Bombyx mori: one gene and its partner. The protein of the gene in region 1 interacts with the protein of each later gene in a pairwise test. Links are inferred from orthologs where the notes say so. Each region holds a gene or a part of one and is shown in the gene's direction. Other genes may lie near its edges. The genes, in order: armadillo segment polarity protein and tax1-binding protein 3 homolog.

Region 1 (4,048 bases):
ACAACGGTCGGTGTTATTGAAATACCATAAAAAATATGCACAAATCATCCATTTGAGTCTACGATTTGACAGGTGCTTCTTTTAAACGAACTTTGAAAAAAGTCCCGATAAGCAGAAGATCTTGGCAATTTCAATCCATAATAATACTATTCAATGCGAAAGTGGGATTGGTGGTTTGTTGCGCTTTCATGTTTTAACTACCCAGCTGGTCAAGACGAAATTTTTCGTACAAATTGTAAGATTACAAAATAACAAAAAGAAAATTAGCTCGGAGAAATCACACATGTTCAGTTGGCCCCAAACTAGATAAATAAATACATAGCTATACCTTTAAAAGTACGTTTATAACATTTAAAATGGCTCAATACTTTCATTCATTTATACGGATATCAACATCCAAACAAATAGTAAACAAATCTGTTCATCACACTAATGTTTACCTGATCTGGGAATCGAACCCACGATATTTTTTTGCTTTTGATGCCAACAAAAAATCTGAAAGTAATATCGCCATCGCATTCACGGCCACGGAACTTGTATGACATTATTTCGTGCATTGATCTTGAAGCAGGATTCTGCCTACTATGTTGCTTCGAAATAATTTTGTACCTAGAAATATTTTCACATAAGTTGATAAAGATACCTGATAAAATCAACCGCCTTTAATCTAAAAACTTAAATATTAGCTAGTAACCAATATAGACCTAGGGATCTAGACAAAGTGTGCTCTTAAATATTAAGTACATATATTATCTGTGAATGTACTAGCGTTAATGTGAATATTAGATATGTAAATACAGAAGTACCGTATTTATTATATTTAATTTTAAGGAATTGACATAATAAATAATAATTACCTATGCTAACGAAACGTCACGTGGTCTAACTCATGTCAATCCCTTAAAATCATACCCGTCCGGGCATAGCTGGAATAAGACCTCAGGTACCTTCAGACAGGGAGTAGACTCAGTGGTCAAGGCTCAGGTACATCAGGTTTTTTAAAACTAGGTCATTTAATATAATAATATGACGTAACAATTATGTAAAATTATTATCTGCTGTATAAAAAAGTTACAAATCAATTAGGCATCATTAAAAAAATACAAATCTGCGTGCCACGAATCGTATTGTTTACAATTTATCCCTGAACTTTATGTTGGCACCCCGAGCCTTTGAAGAAAAAATGAGATAAAAGCATATGCAATACCTTAGAGCGAACGAAGTAGCAATACTAGTGTCAGCTGCATTTGAAAGTAAACGAAATTCGACGAGTCTCCGCCATGTTGTTGTATGAATCGAGTGACGGTGGGTCGGATATTGTGCATTTAATTTGTAAAAATTATTTAAAAGTCGTGAAAACAGTTAATCTGTTTGGCTTGCACGGCCAAGGTAAGTTTTATTCGCATTAATTTTAATTAAATAATGATATTAGTCACCTTAATATCTCGACCAGTACAAGTTATTTTATGGGGTCGGGTGTGGTGTTCGGTATTTAGTTCATGGTGCACTTATTTGTTTTGTTTTCCGCTGTTCCAAAAGTATTTCCTAGTGGGAAGCATTAAATAAATGCAAATGTTTATGTGATTAAGTTCTAATGTGAACCATGCTTTAATTCTTATGAATCGATCGATAACGTACAAAGCGGAGACATGTTTTATGGTATTTTTTACAACAGGGGACGGGTGCATCGTCGCATCGTCTAAATCATGAGTTATCAAATTCCATCATCGCAAAGTCGCACAAGTAAGTAATTTATATTGATTCTTTTGTAAATGTAAATTTATCATATCATTGCCATTCAAAAAGCTTGAGTACTTACTGAACGCTGTTCAAACCACTTACTTCGATACAATTGAATGAATCGGTTTGTGTCTATCGTGACTCATGCATATGGCATTACTTGAACGATAAATTTATAAATGAACTTTAACTTTTCTGTATCTCAGTACATTCTCTGCTAAGTAGCAAAAGAAAAAGAAATCCTAAAACACGAAAACATTGGAATTGAAACTGAGGGAAAAAATTACATTTTGAATCATACATTCTCAGTTCATTTATTTGAAAACAATTTTTAAACAAATTGCAAATAAATTAGATTAAAAGGAAATTTGAAATATAATTTGTTATGATTTGAGAACTCTCAAAAAGGTTCTTCAATTAATGAAAATACAGGTATAACAAGATTAGGATTCAACATAATTGAAACTTCAATCTCTTGTCAAAAGACGTGGAGTTCACATTAATGGCATAAAGTAACCACTTTATTTTAGTTTAAGTTTAGCTCCTGCAACTACTTACTAATTCTCTTTATGTTCGCTTGAAATTAAACCCATACTACCCCTTACATTCCTACAGAAATATATATATATCTCTCTGTTTTGTGTGAATAAAAAACGAGAAAACATCATTATTTTACAGTGTCGCACAGCAGCTATGTTGCTTCTGATGTGCCAATGGCACCAAACAAAGAGCAGCAGACATTGATGTGGCAGCAAAACTCCTATTTAGTGGACTCTGGAATCAACTCTGGAGCTGCTACCCAGGTAATGTTATCAGACTGTCTATTATAAAATACAGCAGTAATATTGTCCTATTTCATTATAAAAATTGGATTAAAATAAAATACGGCTTGTCTTCTTAATTTAACATAATTTTGGGATGGACACAACTGAAAATCTATCTTTATCAATACAACAACATAAGTCATTCAATATACAAAATAATGATGAAGTTTGATTAAATTTTTTATTATGATGACACTTCATAATATGAGATACCTGAACTACGTGTGCTCTAAACCTTGCTGATTTTATCATGGAACTTTTAACTGTTAAACGTAGAATGATCTAAAGAAAAAGAAAAAACATTTTCTGTCTCATTTAGTCGTGACTGAACCATACAAACTAGCAGTTTGAAAATTACTTCTGCATATTAAATAGATTTTGAATTGAACTGAGCAGTACTTTCATTAGTGAAATCTGTTATGGTATTTCATTGATTTTATCTGGCCTGTGTTCTTTAAGTAAGGACAGTAAATATGAGCAAAACACCATCCATTATAGTGTGAAGATATTCTTGCATTTTAGTTTTTAGAGTACACGTCAAGCCTTGTGTACTTCTTAATAGTTGTTTAAGCACTGATGAAACTAAAATCTTAGTATACAGCTCGAAAAGTAATATAAAATATCATAAAAATGCACAAAAGATCAGCTATAGTGATAATTGCTAACTTTTATTTGATATTTAAAAAATATTTTTTATTCCCAAAAGTACAAAAGATTTTTTATGAGAATACATAACCATACCTTTGTAACTTGACTGAGAGTGATAATCAGATGACTCCTACCTTTTTGAATAGTCACATCAATTTATTTTAGTTAAATGTATGATTCTCTTCAGGTTCCATCACTAACTGGCAAGGAAGATGATGAGATGGAAGGTGACCAACTTATGTTTGACCTTGATCAGGGTTTTGCTCAGGGATTCACTCAAGAACAAGTTGATGGTGAGTTGTTTCCCCATTTCATTTAGAAACGTTTGAATGTACAATATAGAAATAATTTTACACAAAAATTCTTATGACAATACAAGCTGTTTGGATTGTTGTATTCAATATCATATGCTTTACTTTCAGATATGAATCAACAGCTTTCTCAAACTAGATCTCAAAGAGTCCGTGCGGCTATGTTTCCTGAAACGCTGGAGGAAGGAATTGAAATTCCATCGACACAGCTGGATCCCGCTCAACCAACTGCTGTCCAGCGTTTAGCTGAACCTTCCCAGATGTTAAAGCATGCTGTGGTGAACCTCATCAATTATCAAGATGATGCTGATTTAGCTACCAGGTATAATTATGTAATATAATAGCCTAACACCAGATATTCTATCAGATCATCAGGCAACAAGCATGAAAAAAAAAACATTACACTATTATTATTCATTTGTTCTATTCCTATTGATTTTAAATTTGTTTCAGAGCTATTCCAGAGTTGATAAAGCTACTGAATGATGAAGATCAAGTAGTAGTATCCCAAGCTGCCATGATGGT
Region 2 (4,402 bases), on another chromosome or scaffold:
GGGCTATAGCAACATTTTTTGCTATTTCCTCTTCTGATGGTGGTTCTTTTCTAAATTGTCCAAAAAAATACGTCATAAAATACTAATTTTTTAAATACATCTTTATTTACCTTATAACTTATATCTTTATATACTGTTCCTTACTGAGTAAATCATTAACTCACAGCCTAAACAGCTGGCGTTCTACAAACATGATATTTTGACTACTTACCAAATTTTTTATGTTATAATTTTGGAAAATCATCCCTAACATAGAAAAGGGATCAACAAATGAAAAGTCAGTAATCAAGACATAAAGGATCAACGGTTGAATGGAACTCAATCATTTTCATACTAAAAGGCATAAAATTTCATATACTTGCTTCTATAGTTGTCTTGAGTTAATAATAAATGTACACATATTTTTATATATTTCAAATTTATCCCCTAAAAGGATTAGAGGATTAATCACTTTTAAAAGAAGTATAAAATATTATCCCAAATACTATAAATTAACATACTTTTTTTGCAAAAAAAGTAACATAAATAATACATTTATAATAACTGCAAAGCACCTAACACAATATGGTGATGCTCCAGTGCAAAACCAAGGCAGCTCGTTATGTATTTTTACTTTAAAACTTAGTAGCAAATTCAGGATTTAAAAACTAAATTAATCTGTATTCCATCATTATGCAATTGTATCTTTGATAGAAATCAAAGTCCTCATGTTTGAATGTAAGCAGTTGGATCTATATATTCTATGCTGTGTACATGATCTATGTAATCACAGTCTATGTGTTAGTTCAGCTACCTATTCATACCAGTTAAAATCATTTTATGCAAATTTAATTAAGGGCATAAATATGAACTTCATAAAGTACCTTCTCATTCTCAACCAGGACTCCCATTCGGCTGGTATTGGATTTTGGAAATCCTGACCTTTAGGTGGATCATACCAACGTGATGGCTTTCTTTTACCTTCACTTGGACTAGCAGGTATTTCAAAATAAGTGTTACCTATGTAATCTTTACCTGTAACAAAATGTTTATCCATTCACTGCTATTCCTTTAATGTCCTTTAATTTCATTCCGTTCACACAGAAATGAACTAAACATGGGCAGCAGATAATCATTTTTCTAAATAAATGTAACCTACCTAACCTGTGGTAGATTCTGCGAAGCACTGCTCTTGCTAGCGTCAGTGTTAGCATCACTCCGGTTTGAGCCCCGTGAGCTCATCTACTAGTTAAGGTTACGCTGAAATAGCCTCTCAAGGCTATCAGCTTAGGTAGGAAAAAAAAGAAAATTCTAAACTCATAACTTATTAGCACTTACCAACATTGTTTCCAGTAACCTGTTTTGGTCTAAGTGAATTAATGAAATTTCTAAAAACAATGCGCCATACTTGTCGATATTCTCCATTAGACATCTGAAATTATAGAAATTGTAATAGTAGACTTCGAATTCGAATATTACAGTTCGAATGCAAATTGACAAATTGCAATTTTGTACAGACAGAAGCAGAATAATCTCTTTAAATAGAATTAGCAAAGGCAACCTAGCTCACATCGCTTAATCTTTATTTATTGAGTATTTAAACTGTGATTATTTTAAAAGGTAAAACAGATCTGAATGCATTGAAATGAAATTGCTTACAGATTTTAATATCATAAAATGGAAAGAGGTGAAATAAAACAGCACCGTAGGATAGATGGGATAAAATAAATAAGCTTTCGTTGCTAGAAATTAACTTTCATTTACTTTAATAATAACGTACAGTACAGACAAAAACTGCCATTTTAGAAGGCAATTTTCACTTTTATTTTTGTAATTAAAAGGTCGTATACGCATGAAATAAAGTTAGTATGTACATCAAAAATCCCGCTGAGTACCTATCTAGTTTCTAAAAAAAAATTATGACACTTGTCAGTTATGTCACATGCTAATTCTCAGTGTTACCTACTGTTGATCTAGTTGAATAGTTTACTCGTATATTGTATATGTACCGTTCTTAAAATTTCCAATATTTATTTCCCATAAGCATTTGCTCATTTTGAGAATTTTGTTAATTTAGAAGGTAAACACATAAATATTATTCATAATGGCGAAGATGGCATTTCAACACCAGGCTGGAACAGCTATGGAGTGTCTAAGTGTAAGTTAGCAGACCACTCCCACTTTACGTATCAGAGTTTCATTACTTGACTAACTAATACTTTTCGTTTTAATAGATACCGATAACTTTACAAAAAGAGGCTGGTGTTGACCCAGATGGAAGAGAAGTAATGAAATGTGGTTTTAAAATAGGAGGAGGCATTGATCAAGACTTTCGTAAGAGCCCCCAGGGATATACAGATAACGTGAGTGTTGTTCCCATATTCAAAATATAGATGGACTCTTTTGTTAAGACAACAAAATGAAATGAAACAAAACACAATTCTAAGATATTTTATTTATGTTATTCTGATGCTGAAAAAAATTATAAATAATTATTAAACAACATAGGATAATAATGTAGTATTTATGTGGTATCATTTTAAATTAAAATTTTAAACTTTAAAAGTCTGTAAAGCCACTAATATTTTTCTGTCTTGTAAGATTTGATTTAAAAGTTAATAATATATAATTTTTTTAGGGTATTTATGTAACTGAAGTTCATGAAGGAAGTCCAGCAGCAAAATCAGGTTTAAGAATGCATGATAAAATACTACAGTGCAATGGTTATGACTTTACAATGGTAACTCACAAAAAAGCAGTTAGTTATATTAAGAAACACCCTATTCTTAACTTGCTTGTGGCCAGAAAAGGAGTTACATCTACATAATATACGGCATCTTACTTATAAACAAATCTGTGTAAAAAACTTTAAATCACTGTTTATGAGTTTATTATTTTATAAGGAAATTTATTTGACATACGATAAGCAAATTAAAAATTTAAGTGTGAAACATACAGCTAATTGGAAGTACCTACTAAGTTAGTAAAGTATTATATTATTATGACCATGAGTGATTATTATACTGTTATTTATTTTTGTATTTAAGAATTTAGCTGTTAAGTTTTAAGCAGATATGGGTTTGCAGTCTGTCTCAAAAACCTTTCATTGAATTTAAGTAATACATTTTACGGTATATTTGTACAGCATAAAACAGGCCTGGGGAGTTACCATTAACAGTAGTTAATAATTTACACAATGCATTTACATTAAACTGACAAATTCAGTTAAGAGATGCAAGTTAAGTTTTATTAAAGAGGATTGTTGCTACATCAGGTATATTTAAATATGTAATATTGATAATAACACCTTATTATTGATATTACAAGTCTTATAGTGCAGTCTGTAAAGAATGATAATTATGTGCATGGCACTTAAACTATGAAGATTTTGTGTTATTTCTCAAAATATTTTCTGCTTTTTAATTACGATTGAATTTATTCTTAAATATTTCGTCATAATATAAAACAAATGTTTAGTGTTATTATTGGGATTTTTTATTATTATGAATTGATATTTCTATGTTAAGTGATAAGAGTATGATATAATTATTAAAAACATTTGGATGTTTTTGTATTGAATTCATTTTATATTTCCCTGCATGACATCTGATAGAAGACAGTGAAAACTTTTTTTTTAATTGAAATAACACCTGTTTGACTTACCAACCCAGTTCATTTATTGTTTATATATCAAATCATCATCATCGTGTATCAAATCATGTTTGTTACTAGATTTATTTACCTAATTCATCAATTGAAATAAATAGGTTGCAACAGCAACTTAAGTTTGACAATCTTTCAATAAAAGAATTAGAGGCTGCCAAATGCAAAGAATGATTTCTAGTCCATGTTTATTACATACTAAAACAATAGTGACTAATTTTAAATATTTCTAAAACACTTAGGAACATTCTTCTATAAAACACTGCTTTTAATAATTTTCTTTATTGAGTTTAAATGATATAATTTACTACATATGCTACAATAATATTAACAATTAAGCTTTAGATGGAGGCCATTCCCATTGACCTTTAGGAGGCTTAGCCATTAGTGGTTCCCACGGCTTCCAATTTAACATCTTCCTAGCTAGGTTTAATTCATTTTCAGCTTGAATTATCAATTCCTCAGCTTGACCGCAGTTGATTTTCTTTTCGATTTCAAAGCTGTCTTTAGTCTGTAAGAACATTTTTAGTGACCTCTGATTAGTAGTGGTTTCAAAAGAGACCAGAAAAGCAAGCAAAGAATTTTGAACACAAAATATTAATTTTACGCAGTGATAAATCAGTGTAGATGAATATTTAATTTACTTTTCGTTAAATTCAGTACAAACTTTATAGACCTAATTTCCATTACCTGAGTTAAAACCGCTGCTCTTTCACGTACTATTTGTTCCGTATATTTACGATAAACTGATGTTTCTGGC

What was found.
Region 2: the proteins of armadillo segment polarity protein (region 1) and tax1-binding protein 3 homolog interact in a two-hybrid assay, tested with the Caenorhabditis elegans proteins (2 studies listed by BioGRID). The link is inferred for Bombyx mori from reciprocal best matches to the Caenorhabditis elegans genes hmp-2 and txbp-3.

The regions. Positions count from the first base shown.
Region 1 is NC_085116.1:12,303,133-12,307,180, forward strand, and holds the start of armadillo segment polarity protein, read left to right. Parts: upstream 1-1,248; 5' UTR 1,249-1,389; intron 1,390-1,436; exon of another isoform or gene 1,437-1,633; intron 1,634-1,675; 5' UTR 1,676-1,706; coding exon 1,707-1,743; intron 1,744-1,815; exon of another isoform or gene 1,816-1,983; intron 1,984-2,418; coding exon 2,419-2,543; intron 2,544-3,399; coding exon 3,400-3,505; intron 3,506-3,634; coding exon 3,635-3,845; intron 3,846-3,976; coding exon 3,977-4,048. Other genes in the region: uncharacterized protein LOC101744306, read right to left, coding at 1-48. UniProt on the Caenorhabditis elegans protein: Required for cell migration during body enclosure and cell shape changes during body elongation. Plays a role in recruitment of the cadherin protein hmr-1 to adherens junctions.
Region 2 is NC_085111.1:14,179,488-14,183,889, reverse strand, and holds tax1-binding protein 3 homolog, read left to right. Parts: upstream 1-1,652; 5' UTR 1,653-2,083; coding exon 2,084-2,137; intron 2,138-2,213; coding exon 2,214-2,342; intron 2,343-2,617; coding exon 2,618-2,806; 3' UTR 2,807-3,558; downstream 3,559-4,402. Other genes in the region: NADH dehydrogenase [ubiquinone] 1 alpha subcomplex assembly factor 2, read right to left, coding at 1-50, 864-1,014, 1,318-1,411. UniProt on the Caenorhabditis elegans protein: May regulate a number of protein-protein interactions by competing for PDZ domain binding sites.